Pelodiscus sinensis: one gene and its partner. Each later gene encodes a partner of the first gene's protein in a complex. Links are inferred from orthologs where the notes say so. Each region holds a gene or a part of one and is shown in the gene's direction. Other genes may lie near its edges. The genes, in order: KAT14 and DR1.

Region 1 (7,722 bases):
TTTGCTGCAGGACGGCTATTTTTAAATCTGCTACTGTGTGTCCAGGGAGACTTAAGTGTTCTCCTACAAGTTTTTGTATATTGCCATTCTTAATATCTGATTTGTGTCCATTTATTCTTTTACGTAGGGACTGTCCAGTTTGGCCGATGTATATAGCAGAGGGGCATTGCTCGTACATGACAGCGTATATTATATTGGTAGATGTGCAGGTGAATGAACCAGTGATGGTGTGGCTGATCTGGTTAGGTCCTGTGATGGTGTCACTGGTATAGATATGAGGGCAGAGTTGGCACTGAGGTTTGTTGCATGGATTGGTTCCTGAGTTAGAGTTACTGTGGTGCAGTGTATAGTTGCTGGTGAGAATTTGCGAGGACTGACTTGCCTCCCAAGGCCTGTGAAAGTGAGGGATCATTGTCCAGGATGGGTTATAGATCACTGATGATGCGTTGTAGAGATTTTAGCTGAAGACTGTAGGTGATGGCCAGTAGTGTTCTGTTAGTTTCTTTCTTGGGCTTGTCTTGTAGTAGGAGGCTTCTGGGTACATGGCTGGCTCTGTTTATCTGTTTCCTCAATTCCTTGTGTGAGTATCGTAGTTTCAAGAATGCTTGGTGGAGATCTTGTAGGTATTGGTCTCTGTCTGAGGGGTTGGAGCAGATGCGGTTGTACCTTAGTGCTTGGCTGTAGACAATGGATTGTGTGGTGTGTCTGGGATGGAAGCTGGAGGCATGAAGGTAGGCATAGCGGTTAGTAGGTTTTCGGTATAGGGTGGTGTTTATGTGACGGTCACTTATGTGCACTGTGGTGTCCAGGAAGTGGATCTCTTGTGTAGACTGGTCCAGGCTGAGGTTGATGGTGGGGTGGAAGATGTTGAAAGCATGGTGGAATTCTTCCAGAGTCTCCTTCCCATGGGTCCAGATGATGAAGATGTCATCAATGTAGCATAGGTAGAGAAGGGGCATTAGTGGACGAGAGCTGAGGAAGCGTTGTTCCAGGTCAGCCATAAAAATGTTGGCATATTGTGGGGCCATGCGGGTGTCCATCATGGTGCCACTGGTTTGGAGGTATATATTGTCACCGAATCTGAAATAGTTGTGTGTGAGGATAAAGTCACGGAGTTCAGCCACCAGCTGTGCTGTGGCATCATCAGGGATACTGTTCCTGACAGCTTGTGTTCCATGTATGCGTGGGATTAGATATTAGGAATGGCAATATACAAAAACCTGTAGGAGAACACTTCAATCTCCCTGGACACACAGTAACAGATTTAAAGGTAGCCATCCTGCAGCAAAAAAACTTCAAGACCAGACTTCAAAGAGAAACCGCTGAGCTACAGTTCATCTGCAAATTTGACACCATCGGTTCAGGATTAAACAAAGACTGTGAATGGCTAACCAAGTACAAAAGCAGTTTCTCCTCTCTTGGTGTTCACTCCTCCATATCAGCTACTAGAAGTGGGCCTCGCACTTCCTGACTGAAATAACCTCGTTACCTCTAGCCTTATTCTGGCCTGCATATTTATACCTGCCTCTGGAAATTTCCACTACATGCATCTGACGAAGTGGGTCTTTGCCCACGAAAGCTTATGCTCCAATACATCTGTTAGTCTGTAAGGTGCCGCTGGACTCCTTGTTGCTTTTACAGATCCAGACTAACACAGCTACCCCTCTGATATCTGATAATCAGTGTTAACTATTGCTTTGTCTGTGCTCAAAAGTGCACCAGTTTATCTAAATTGTTTAAAAATTGAATTTAGTTAAATTAATGCAGACCTCTAATATGGACACTTTTAAATTAGTTCACATCGGGCTTATGTCAATTTAAGAAACTTTTGGCCTTCATGAACTAATTTGAGAGAAGCCAAGTGAATTTAAGCTTGTGCCAGTTTAACGAAATCGGGGTTCTCTACATTTCTATCACTATTCTTCATTGCATCATGACCCCCTTCTGACAACAAGCATTTCTACACAATTCCAGGAGGGGGGAACCAAAGCCTGAGTCCTTCCAAACCCCACTGCTCCAAATGGGACCAAAGCTGAAGCCTGAGGGCTTCAGCTCCAGGTAGGAGGTCTATAACCTGATCTCTCTGCCAGGGCAGTGGTACTTGGTTTTGGCTTCAGCTCCAGACTTCAGCAAACCTAAGCCAACCCTGGCAAGCCCATTAAAATGGGATTGTGACCCACTATAGGGTCCCGCCCTATAGTTTGAAAACCACTGAACCTAAACTGATATAAAAAAATCAAACTGTTGCAACTTATGTGTATAGACCACACCACACCTAAGTCTGCTTGTATGTATTTTGATGGTACTGAAGGATGTCCTCTGTCATTTGGGACAAAACATAAAGATTTTTTGCAAAATACATATATAACTATAGCTCTAAAGTGAATGAAAGCATAGCCTGGTAGGTTATAAGAGTGTATTTTATTGGATCAAGAGACATGCTTGAAACCTGCATTCATAAAAATCTCTACATTTTTTCTGTATATATAGTATGGTAGTACATTTCATTATACTACTAAAGTAATAGTTTATCAGGACAGTAGTAATTTTATAATCGGAATTAAATTGACTGAAACTGATAGGAAAGAACTGTTCCCATAAAATTAATTTCCAGAGAGATTTTGACATTTTTGGGTGAAATGTATTTTGTCTGCCTCCATAATTTTTGAAAACAAGATTAAAATATTTCTTGCACAAAATATTTTTTCTTCATGATTCAGATGGGACACATTATTTCCCTCAAAATGCGTACGTACTTGGTTTCTGGGTGAGAAGCGATGCCTCTTCCTATTAGAAAGTTTATTTTATTTTTTGAGGTCAATTTTTAAAATGAATGATTTGCAAATGCATTTTCAGATCTATTAAGCCTGCCTATATAATATCAGATTAATCAAATAAAGTATTTACCTTTTTGGCTATTAATTTATTCATAAATTATTTTTTCCAGCATTCATCCAGTCAGCAGTTGTAGTGCCTATGAATACATATGAATCCTGATCATGCAAAGATTTATGCTTTACACATATCAATTAGTTATTTAGGCAGACCTATAAGTTTTGAAAGGATCAAGACCATAGGTAGTAACAAAATATGGGCCTGGTCCTGCAGTTGGATCCATGTGGACAGAACCCTGTGCTTCTTCTAGTATTGGTTTCTATGCAACTATTTCATGTGTTTCCCTAATCAAATGTCATATTTTAATATCTTCTGTTAAAGGTGCCACCTTCATCTTGAAATCTAGTCAATCTCAAAGGAATTAGAAGCAGTTTCAAGTATCACTCCTACCCCATAGTTCCTTTATCAATGTTTGCAGTTTTGCAGATGTATTTTCTTGTTTTCAATATGCCTTTCTTTCCTCTATTGTTTGTACAAATTACCCACACGAAATACCCATAAACAAAAAGGGAAATTGACAAAAGCCCAGATTCAGTAGTTGGACCTACTTGTGGGGATCCAGTTTCAGGAACAAGGTCTGCCTATACAGAAGAAACAGCTAAATTAACTATATATAAAGCACAGTGAGTTCTGCGTTAGTGGATCCCTATGCATTGGAATCTCCACTGAATTCTTGGATCTCTGCATGGATTCAAGGTATTAAGAACAAAATGCTGTCAAGTGCACAAAATAAACCAAGTGGAAAAACTTTTTCTCTTTCAGTTATAATCCTTTTACATTTAATTCATTTTTTTAATGTAGTCTCCATGTTGTCTATGTTAATGTCTGTTAATTCTGCTCAAGCAGAGGATCACAAGTTGAGATATTTCAGGCAGATTAGTTGAATTCTGATAAGGATGGGGGAGAAGTCATAATCTTCGACAGATATATTGCTGTCTCTCCGTAATACTGTAGAAATGATCAATATACAATATTTACAGTTGTCTAACACTTTATCATTATAGGAAGATTATGTAGCTGAACCAACAAATATAGTTTTCCTAGCATGTTACCAGTAGTTATCAACATCCACCTATCAGAGCTCCGTTCTAGTCATTTTAAACTCGAAAAGTAGCTTGTGTCTTGAACAGAGAATTGAAAGTTTGTAACAGTTATATATTTGGCAGTGCTGTGACAGAGGTTGGAATGCAAAGGGGTGTTAGTTCCATGCAATCGACTATAATGAACCATGTCTCTTGTATTTTCAGAGGCTGCACGAAGGAGTTGTCAGAGACCTTGAGAGACAAAGCCGTAAACTGGAAAATATTCGCCTTTTACAAGAACAGATTACTCTGACCAAGCAACTTGAAGCAGAGAGACACAAGATGTTAATGGAAAAAGAGTCCCAACAATCCTAGACTTAAACATGAAGTTTTAGAGTTGGGACTGAAGGACAGCAGGGATTTGTGTTTGAGTGTTCCTAGGTGTTTCAGGAAACGGAAGCTACTTCCATCACCTTTAGCTACCTAGTCATCAAGTCTAGGAAATTATATACATTAAGAAGTGTGTACGCAGAATTATTCTCTAACTTGAATATTTTCATGTGAGCAGAAATATAGTGTAGAAGGCTTCATACCTGGCTGGCTCACCTTATATGGGTGGTATTTTAAATGCTGGAGGGAGAGCCCCATGTAATGTAAAAAAATCCCTTCCTCTGCTTGCCAAGAAGGGATGGATAATAACGTTCACATGAGTGGACTGATGAGTCGGCACGATGACGAAGCTACAAGGACATCAACTTCAGAAGGGCTGGAGGAGGGTGAGGTGGAAGGAGAGACTCTCCTGATTGTTGAGTCTGAGGATCAGGCTTCAGTGGATTTATCCCACGATCAGAGTGGGGACTCCTTGAACAGTGATGAGGGGGATGCATCCTGGATGGAGGAGATGTCCTATTACTGTGAAAAGTGTCAGAAGTGGATACCAGCAAGTAAGAGTCAAGATTTCCTCTGTTATCTCCATCTCTTGCGTTTTGTGGGTTTATTTGTTCTTTTCCTCAGAGAAAAAAAATCATATTATTTTCCTGAACGTATGGGAGGCAGTGATGTGTAGTAGATAGAGCACCAGACTAGGGATCAGGAGACCTAGATTATATTCCCAGCTCTGCCACTGGTCTGCTGTGCCTGTGTCTGTCAGTTCCCCTTTCAATCTCTCAGGGTATGTCTACACTACAAAGTTAATTCGAACTAACGGACGTTAGTTCGAATTAACTTTGATAGGCGCTACACTAGCGCTCCGCTAGTTCGAACTTAATTCGAACTAGCGGAGCGCTTAGTTCGAACTAGGTAAACCTCATTCTACGAGGACTAAGCCTAGTTCGAACTTACTAGTTCGAATTAAGGGGTGTGTAGCCCCTTAATTCAAACTAGTGGGAGGCTAGCCCTCCCCAGCTTTCCCTGGTGGCCACTCTGGGCACCACCAGGGAAACTTGTCTGCCCCCCTCCCGGCCCCGGACCCCTTAAAGGGGCACGGGCTGGCTACGGTGCCCGTGCCAGGTACAAGCCTGCCAGCACCCAGCTAGCAGACCCTGCACCTGGCACGGCTCGAGCCAGCCACCCGATGCCCCCCAGCCCTCCGCCTCTTCCCGGGACCAGGCTGGCGGCTCCCGGGAGCTTGCCCGGGACCGCAAGAGGCGGGCACCCGCCTGGTCTAGTGCGGATATCGTGGAACTCGTCCACGACCTCCGCACTAGGCACAGGAAAGTGGCCGTCTAGGGCAGGAGAGCTGCCAGCCTGGCCACCCAGGAGCAGGTGTGCATGAAAATCAAGGTGGTCCACTGAGACCCCCCGACCCTGAGTCCTGAGCTTACAATGGCCGTCCTGGGTCAGACCAAAGGTCCATCTAGCCCAGTAGCCTGTCTGCCGACAGCGGCCAACCCTAGGGACCCTGGAGGGGATGGACCGAAGACAGTGACCAAGCCATTTGTCTCGTGCCATCCATCTCCAGCCTTCCACAAACTTTGGGCAGGGACACCACTCCTACCCCTTGGCTAATACCACTCCATCGACCCAACCTCCATGACTTGATCTCACTTCTCTTTAAACTCTGTTCTAGTTCTAGCCTTCACAGCCTCCTGCAGCAAGGAGTTCCACAGGTTGACTCTTTGCTTTGTGAAGAACAACTTTCTGTTACTAGTTTGAAGCCTGCTACCCATTCCTTTCCTTTGGTGTCCTCTAGTCCTTCTATTATGGGAACTAATGAAGAACTTTTCTTGATGCACCCTCTCCACCCCACTCATGCTTTTATAGACCTCTATCCTATCCCCCCCTCAGTCTCCTCTTTTCTAAGCTGAAAAGTCCCAGTCTCTTTAGCCTCTCTTCATATGGGACCTCTTCCAAACCTCTCATCATTGTAGTTGCCCTCCCCTCTCCCACCCTCTCTCTTCCCCTCTCCCACCTCCTTTTCCCAATCTCCCCGAGTTTTGTTCAATAAAGAGAGATTCTATTTTTGACCACACGTTTTCTTTATTTTGTACATCAGGAAGGGGGGCTAGGGAAGGGTAAGTGGAAGGAGGTGAGGGAGGAATGGGGTACGAGCCCCCAATGGGGAGGACTGGGCTGGCTCTGTGGGCTTCTGTGGGTGGAAGCTCTCCTGCAGGCCCCCAATTGCCCCCTCTCCTCAGATGGCAGCCTGCGGCAAGTGCAGCCGGTCTGATGGCCGAGTGCTGTGATGTGCCCGGTGTGGGCACTCAGGGCACTCCAAGACAGGACTGCTTTGCAAGCGGGGTACCCCTGAGAACTGTCTGTCCGGGGTGGGGGTCGGGTCCCTTTAAGCACAGCCCTTGGCTAGCCTGAGGCAGCAGCTCCACGCTCTAAGTCCTCATCTGATGCCCTGCCGGCACTGCTTCCGGCCATCCTTAACCCCGGTTCAGGGTCCACTTAATGTGGACATGCTAGTTCGAATTAGCAAAACGCTAATTCAAACTAGTTTTTTAGTCTGAATTAACTAATTCAAACTAAGTTAGTTCGAATTAGCGCTGTAGTGTAGACATACCCTACGTTTCCCAATCTGTAAAACAGGGATAATGCCAGTTCCTTTGTAAGGAAAGGTGCTACATAAGAACTATTATTATTTTCCTGATTGGTTTGCCATTTCAGTGGGCTGTGTAAATAGATTTCAGTCTTCTGTATATAAGAATGGTTCCATGGTATCCTGAATTTAAGATTAGTATTCACAGAACAATATAAAGCCAGTTCAGGTTGGACTTCCCTGGTCCAGCACCTTTGGGACCTGACCGGTCCCAGATGAGAGATTTTGCCAGACCTAAGGAGGTCAATTTTGGACCCCTGCCACTGGCCCCCTGGCCTGGCCGCTAGCCTCCTAGCTCCCCACCTTCTGCTGGCCCCGCTGCCCTGCCAACTTGCTGGGCAACCATTGCTGCTGGGGCTCCACCGGGCCACCTAGCGCTGGGCTGGGGTCCGGGCAGCCACGTGCGCCACACCAGGGCTCCGTGAGCAGCCCTGCGTGTTGTGTGATTGAGCAGCCATGTGTGCGCCGGGCTCCCAGCCCCACTGGGCAGTCACCTGCCGGGTCTCCCAACTCTGTTGGGCAGCCCCACTACCACGCTTTGGGCAGCCCCCCCCCCATCAGCTACCTGCAGGCAGCCCACTGCCCTGCTTGCCCCACAGGGATCCTTAGTGCTGGCCCTCCACCAGGACTCTCAGGTCCTGCAACTAGGGATGTCAAATTTAGATTAATCAACAAATTGAATAGTCGATGGAATTTGCAGGAATTTAATAGAACCCCCTGGGCTCTTGTACATTTCCAGAGCAGGGAGCACAGGGCCAGCCA
Region 2 (7,641 bases), on another chromosome or scaffold:
TTCCTACTCTTTGTTTCCTAGCTTATTTAACAGTAGCATTTATGAGAGGACCTTCTGTCTTAGCCCATGATTGGTTAATTTGCTTTAGAGTCTTTAGTGAAGGACCTTGGACTTTCAGAAAGTTTTTGGCAGGTATGCTATATCCATATGCTTTCCCTCTCTCAAAAAATTTCTAATAGGTTGGTGAAGCACAATTTCCCTTAAAAAAGCCTTACTGACTCTTCCCCAGCTATGTCTGATAAATGATATAGTTCCAACTAATTTGCCTAGTTGGGAAGTAGGCTTATTTCCTAGAAACAGGCATCATGCTAGCTACCCTATATTCATATGGTATACAAGCTAATTTAAAGTCTCAGAGGGTTAGCTGTTTTAGTCTGTAACGACAAAAAAATTAGACAAATTCTGTTTTAGCATCTTAGAGACTAACCAAAAAATATAGATAGTATCATGAGCTTTCAAAGAAGTGGGTTGTGCCCACAACAGCTCATTATACTATCTATATTTTTTGTTAGTCTCTAAGGGTGTCTACACTACAGCATTATTTCGAATTATCTTAATTCAAAATAGTTAATTCGAATTAAGCTAATTCGAATTAACGCATCTACACACAAAATCTATTTTGAAATAGCATTTTGCTATTTCGAAATAGCACGTCCACAGTGAGTGGACCGTGAACCGAAGTTAAGGCTAGCTGGAACCAGTGCCGGCAGGGCATCAGGTTAGGACTTAGTGCATGGGGCTGCTGCCTGAGGCTAACTAAGCTCTGAACTTAAAGGGACCCTACCCCAGACAGACAATTCTCAGAGTTCCCCGCTTGCTTGTCTACCTCGATGAGGGACAGCAAAGCAGACCTGTCTTGGCGTACGTCTAGACTACAGGCTTTTGTCGACAGAAGTTTTGTCGACAGATACTGTCGACAAAACTTCTGTCGACAAAGAGCATCTACACTACATTCAGTTCTGTCGACAAAGCAAGCTGCTTTGTCAACATGGTAGTGTGGACGCAAAGGACAGTTTACATGCAGTAACACCTTCTGTCGACAGAAACTCTATCGACAAAAGGCATTATGCTTCGTAAAATGAGGTTTACCAGTCGACAAAACTTCGACGTTATGTCGACAGAACTCAGCGATAGTGTAGATGCAGGTATAGTTTTGTCGACAAAAGTCCACTTCTGTCGATGAAAGCCTGTAGTCTAGACGTACCCCAATTGGAGTGCCCTGAGTGCCCATACTCAGGACATCACAGCACTTGGCCACATGGAGCCAGAGCTGCCCCTGGGTATGCTGGTGCATCTCGTGGGGTTGTTGCCATCAGCCCGGCTGCACTTGCTGCATGCTGTTAGGATCCAGGAGGCCCTGCGGGAGAACGTCCACCTCAAGGAGCCTTCAGAGCCACCCTGGTCCTCCCCACCGGGGGCTCATGTCCCGTTCCTCCCTCATATCCTTCCACTTACCCCTCCCTACCCTCCCTTCCTGATGTAAAATAAAACACATATGTTCAAAAATAGAAACTGGGTTTACTGAACAAAACGAGGGGTGGGGGAGATGAACCTCTGGGGAGACCGGGAAAAGGTGGGAGAGGGGAAGAAAGGGGAGGGGGAAACATGGGAGGAAAGAGCTGTAAGGGGGAAGGAAGGGGAAGAAGGGGGAGAGGAAGCTCAGGGCCCAGGGTTGGGGGTCTCGCTGCACCAACTTGAGTTTCATACAAACCTGCTCCTGGGTTGACATGTGGCCAGGCTGGCAGCTATCCTACCATAGACAGCCTCATTCCTCCATTTAGTGTGGAGATCATGGGTTGGGGGCATCCTCCTCACCTCCCCAAACCTGAATAAGGTCCATGATCTCCACTCTGGACCAGGAAGGGGCCCGCCTCCTCCAGCCCTTCAGGCTCCTGGGAGCTGGCGGACTGCTCTTGGGGAGTGGTGGAGGGCTGGCTGCCAGTGGCTTGCTAGCTCATGTTTTGGGGTCACTGAGTCAGTGGCCCCGGTGGCTACTGCTGGCTCTGAGCTGGCAGGCTTGGAGCTGGCACAGGCACTGTGGCCAGGGTCTACCCCTTTAATGGCTCCGGGGTTGGGGGGAGAGGAGAGTAAGTTTTCCTGGTTGTGCCCAGAGTGGCCATCAGGGCTCCCTGGAAAAGGCTGGAAGTCCTCTATTTCGAATTAAGTGTCTACACAGCACTTAATTCGAAATAGCTATTTTGAATTTGGCATTACTCCTTGTAGAATGAGGTTTACCAAATTCGAATTAAGCGCTCCGCTATTTCGAAATAATTTCAAAATAGCGGTTTGCATGTAAACGGCTGTTATTTCGAATTAATTTTGCAGTGTAGACATACCCTAAGGTGCTACTGGATCATTTGTTGTTTAAGCTAATTTAAGTGATAGTTTGCAAACCACAATTAGTAGTTCTATAATGTCATGTATGAGTTCTTTTGGAATTCTTGAGTGAATACTATTTGGTCTTAATACCTTGTTACTGTTTAATGAATTTCAATATGAAACCATTTTTCTGATTTGTCTTCCAAAGAATGGCTTGGATGTCTGACTGCCCTATATCCTCTGTAGTGAAGACTGATGCAAAGAATTCATTTAGCTTTTCTGCAAAAACCTTATTTTGAGTGCTCCATTAGCAACTCAGTTATCCAGTGGTGTCACTGCTTGGCAGGCTTCCTTCTTCTGATGTACTTACAAGAAACACTGTTAGTTTTTGTGTGTTTAACTAACTGCTCTTCAGATTCTTTCTTGGCTTGCTCAATTATAGTTTTACACTTGACTTACCAGAGTTCCTATTTTCCTCAATGGGATTGGACTTTTAATTTTTAAAGGTTGTCTTTGGAATCTCTTTTCCTCTGCTCTTTGACTGTGGTTGAATTTTTTTTGGTCTGGGATATGCATTTAATCTGAGCCACTATTATGGTGTTTTTAATAGCTTCCATACAGTGCAGGCATTTTGCCCTTGTGACTGTTCCTTTTTATTTCCATTTAACTGTTTCCTCATTTTTGTGTAGTTCCCCTTTTTGAAGTTAAATGCTACGGTGGTGAGCTCCTTTAGCATTTTTCCCCCTACAACCATGTTAATTTAATTACATTAATGCTATTATCTAGGGATTCCGTTATAGTCACCTCTTGATCCAGCCCCTGTATTTCAATTAAAACAAAATCAAGAATTTCTTCTCCCCTTGTCAGTTCCAGGAAAAGCTGCTCTGAGTTGTTCAAATAGTCTATGCTAAATATTGTTGTACTGATGTCCACACAATTACTTCTAACACTTGGCAAGGATATAGGGGGAAATTATATCATGTATGTTCACTCTAGGAAGGCTTTTTTTTTTTTTTAAATTATGGTGTTTACCTAACTTATGTTTAGCATCAGATCTGCAGTTAAAGACTTGTCATCTAGGAAGTTATTCCACAATAGCCTGTCCTAACTAACTGTTTCTAAGCAATACATCAGACATTATAGGATGGAAAAACTCCCTCCTGTGTGCTGACACAGCAGACCTAAACTAAAGAATAGCTAATGGTATCACATTGGGATTAAAAGCAGAACTCCAATCAAACCACCAATATAAATTTACACTGTAGCAGATGATCCAAACTTAAATGTGCTGCTTACAATTTCCCTGGGTGTTGCTTCAAACTACAGCCTTTGAAACTACTAATCTAGACATTAAAAAGACTGTTATTCTGAAGAGGATTTAATTTATTTTGAAAGACAGTTTCATAAGTCAGGAAAAATAACAGCCAAATTAAACTGTTAATGATAAAGTACCAGCAACAGCAAACTCTGCTTGAGAGTATCGACCACCTACACTTGGCTCACAGTCTGATCTCAACACTGAAGTGCAATGAAAAATGATCAGACCGTTTCCTCCATGGGGATGACCCTGCCGCTAGGGAAGCAGGGGACCCCGAATTGGGGCACTGTTAATAAGTAAAGATGCGCCTATGTAGCCCCCACACCACCTGGATCCGCTTCCTTGTCCAACCTAGCGACACTTAGAGCACGTACAGATAAAATAATTAATTCCCCCACAGCCTGGGCTGATCGCCACCTGGCTTTCAGCCCAGGCTGCAGAGCCGGGCGGGGGAAGCGAAGGCTCTGCCCGCCACGCTGCAGCCACAGCGGGTGAAGGCGGGCTGGGTGAGCACGTGCGCGCTCGCGTGGAAGGGGTAACTGGGACGGTACAATCCCACTGCAGACAAGGCGGCGGGACCGCCTGCTCCCCCAGGGCCTTCCTCGCGGCCCGGGCCCCGCACCGACACCCCGCGTCAGCCGGAGTAACGCGGCTACGTGCGCGGCCCAGGGCAGGCTCCGCGACGGGGGCCGCGCGCTCAGCAGCGCCACGAGGCTACTGCACAGGCGGAACTGGGGCCGCCCCCTTCGGATTCCGAAGCCCGTCGGGGCAGGTGGCGCGCGGAGCGAAGAGGGTCCTCAGCGTGGCGACCTGTTTCCGCTACCCGGGGCATGGGGTCCCGGAAGCGGAAGTGTCAGAGAACGGTTTCCGGCGGAAGCGGCCCTGCTCGTTGGTTTTGCTCCGCGTTGGCTCGTTTCCCCCTCCCGGCCGGCCGCGGTTCTGGGCGAGCGGCCGCCGCTGGGTGAGCGCAGAGCCGAGCCGAGCCGGGCGCGGGCTTTCCGGGCGGCTTCCTTCGGCTCCTTTTCACGCGGCGGCGGCGGCCAGCATGGCCCGGCTACCCGGCGGCGGCGCGTGAAGGATGTGGCGGGGGCTGTAGCCGAGGGAGCCCTGAACTCCGGGCAGCGCCTCCCGCGGCTGCCGCCGAGCGCCTGGCACCGGCTCTGGGGCGCTGGCAGCCGGCCCCCGCTCTCCCGCCTTCGGGCGCGAATCCGACCCCTTCTCTTCTCCCCGGCGTCCGGTCCCCTCAGCTCCCGTCCTCGGACTCACGGCACCTGCTCGTGTCCCCCCCGGGCACTTGCCCCGACAGCACCGCCCCGGGGCTCCCTGAGCGGCGGGTCCCCGCCGGGAGAGCGCGTGCCCTGCTTTGCATCTGAAAAGTGAGTTCAAAGGGGCTCGGAGAGTGAGTGTGAACTGAAATACAATGGCCTCGTCCTCGGGAAACGACGACGACCTCACCATCCCTAGAGCTGCTATTAACAAGATGATCAAAGAGACTCTCCCCAACGTCCGGGTGGCTAATGATGCCCGGGAGCTGGTGGTGAACTGCTGCACTGAATTCATCCACCTCATCTCCTCGGAGGCCAATGAGATCTGTAACAAGTCTGAGAAGAAAACCATTTCCCCAGAGCACGTCATACAAGGTAAGATCCCTGGAGGACGCGGGAGGAGAGAAGGCAGTCATCTGGTAGATGACAGACCATTTAGTTTAATGTTGTAGAATTTAGGATTATAGCGAGCTAGGGTGGGTAAGATAACTTGTAATGTGGCCAACAACTGTTGGTGAGAAAGTCAAGCTTTCACATAACACAGAGCCCTCCCTCAGGTCTATGATCCTAACGTTGATTTTTCTAAAAGTACTGCAGAAGTCATTTTTAAAAAAACATGAGTAAGATTATTTATGGCATTTCTTACTAGTTTGCATTGCAAATGGGAAGGCTACTTTTGTGGTGAAGGAGGCAGGAGTTGTCAGTTCCTGCCCATGTTCTCTTGTGCTACTGCGGGTGAGTCACTTAAGTGCTTCAGTTTCCATACCTGTGAAAAGAGACTTTTGCAGCATGGTTGTGCAGATTACTTCCCTGTTTCTTACAGAAACAAAATACTAAGTACCTGTAAACCAGAGGTTGATGCTGTATATAAGGTTAGGGATGGGCGGTGAGTTCCATTCTCTTGGCACTAAAAAGCCTATCACCTAGGAAGATACTGGGATTCCTATCTGCTCCTGCTCCTGGTCTTGTTTTGTGGCTTCATCTTTTGCATCAGTTTCTGATGTAATAGGTGTGTACATTTTAAAATATGCCATTGCACCCTCTTCTGGTTGTTGTGTCTTACCTTCTGTGGCTGTTGGATGGAAAAGCTTTCTCTCTCTTTCTCCCGGATCTGAGCCTCCTGATTTTGGAGAAGACCAGAATAGCATATACTCACTAGCTTTCATTTTTGGGTGTTTGTTCACTATGAATAGAATCAGTGCTTAATACTGCTGCTCACAGCTTTCCCAAGTAGTAACAAGAGTTAAACTAATGACTTGTAAGCCACATGGGCTGTTCCTGTCAAGAATCATTTTCATTTTATTCAGATACTTGAGAGAGCTACCACAGTTCTTCACAGTTTCATTGCTGCCCACAAACTTGTGAATGGAGATGGTAGTGAAAGTGACCAGAGTTTTAGTTTTACTCAGCTGCTTGGCAGGTCCCTGAACAGTGGCATAAGCAGTAGAATATCAGTGTCAGGAAAACAATTAACTATTAGTCTGTATCACATGGAAAGTTGTTTTTGTAATTATCACTAAATGTTCAGTTAATTAGATTCTGCAGACTGTGATGGGGTATGTTCACTCCACTCAGCAGAAAAGAAGAAGTTTCCTATTTGCAATATGTAAGTGGATTTTTGAAGTTCTGATTATGATTAGGGGGTGTAAAATCCTGTGTAATTGGCTAACTGGTTTAATGTGAAGTTTACTTCACATTTTACTAGCTAACCAATTAAGTCCCTCCTCTTCCCCCTTCCCCTATGGCTGAGATTAAGTGGCCTGCTGCCTGCCATTATACCACCCCCCCAGCCAACCGCAGACCAGGGTTGGCCCAGATGATTGGAGCATCCTCTGTCCGCAGTGGGCCCCATAGGGATGAAGGAGCCCATTACCCACAGCAGGTGGGGCACTGCTCCAGCCTGGAGCACTGGAACCTGTTAACCTTTCACATCCCTAGTTTTGATGACATAAGCAGCAGTATAAGAAAATATGAACCATATCTAAACTTTTGTTTTAGTTAATATTTTAAGAAAATGATGTATTGCAATAAAATTGATTTTTTAAAAAAACTTTCAAGCTCAGAATTTAAAAAGTAAAACCCAGACTGTGATTGCAAATGAAATGTGCTGGTTAAATAGATAAAGATGCCACCAAAAGTATCAGCACATGTTCTTAGGTTAAAGAAAAGTAGAACAAAACTATATTGGAAACAGTGTTAGTGGGAAGAAATAATTGAGTGATGAAAGTCTGTTGCCTATTACAAATGGTCCTTAGTACAGATTTCACTCTAACATCATCTGATTAGTCCATTTGTTTGCATGTAATGGATTATTTTTCTAATAATGATGTTCAGAAAATGTGTATGTGATTGAAAGCCGAAAAGAAATGATTATATCTGCACTGTGTTGTCTCCTAAAAGGTTTTTTTCAGGTTATATATATTATACACACTAACTGCTAATGTGTTCAAAGTCATAATTTTTTATATAAAGTTCTTCTTGAATTCCAGGTTGTCAGTGTTAATCAGATTCTCTTAAATGAACATTTATGTTTTTCCATTTATATGGTCAAATGTGGTAAGGAGGATGTTCCTTTCATAGTATTTTATATTCTGCTTGTACCTTCATTGTTATCCTTATTATCCTTCACAAATACATATGGTACTAATTCCTGTCAGATTAACCCTCATGCTTTGAGGAATCATGTCACTATTTTAAAGAAAATTATTTAAGATTTATATGGTGTATGCGAGTTAAATA

Evidence for each region.
Region 2: KAT14 (region 1) and DR1 share a complex: the UniProt entries of both Homo sapiens proteins name them as parts of the ADA2A-containing complex. The link is inferred for Pelodiscus sinensis from reciprocal best matches to the Homo sapiens genes KAT14 and DR1.

Annotation. Positions count from the first base shown.
Region 1 is NC_134713.1:193,861,607-193,869,328, forward strand, and holds the start of KAT14 (cysteine-rich protein 2-binding protein), read left to right. Parts: upstream 1-4,605; coding exon 4,606-4,861; intron 4,862-7,722. Other genes in the region: protein PET117 homolog, mitochondrial, read left to right, coding at 4,143-4,292. UniProt on the Homo sapiens protein: Component of the ATAC complex, a complex with histone acetyltransferase activity on histones H3 and H4. May function as a scaffold for the ATAC complex to promote ATAC complex stability. Has also weak histone acetyltransferase activity toward histone H4.
Region 2 is NC_134719.1:34,923,332-34,930,972, forward strand, and holds the start of DR1 (protein Dr1), read left to right. Parts: upstream 1-4,538; 5' UTR 4,539-5,057; coding exon 5,058-5,277; intron 5,278-7,641. UniProt on the Homo sapiens protein: The association of the DR1/DRAP1 heterodimer with TBP results in a functional repression of both activated and basal transcription of class II genes.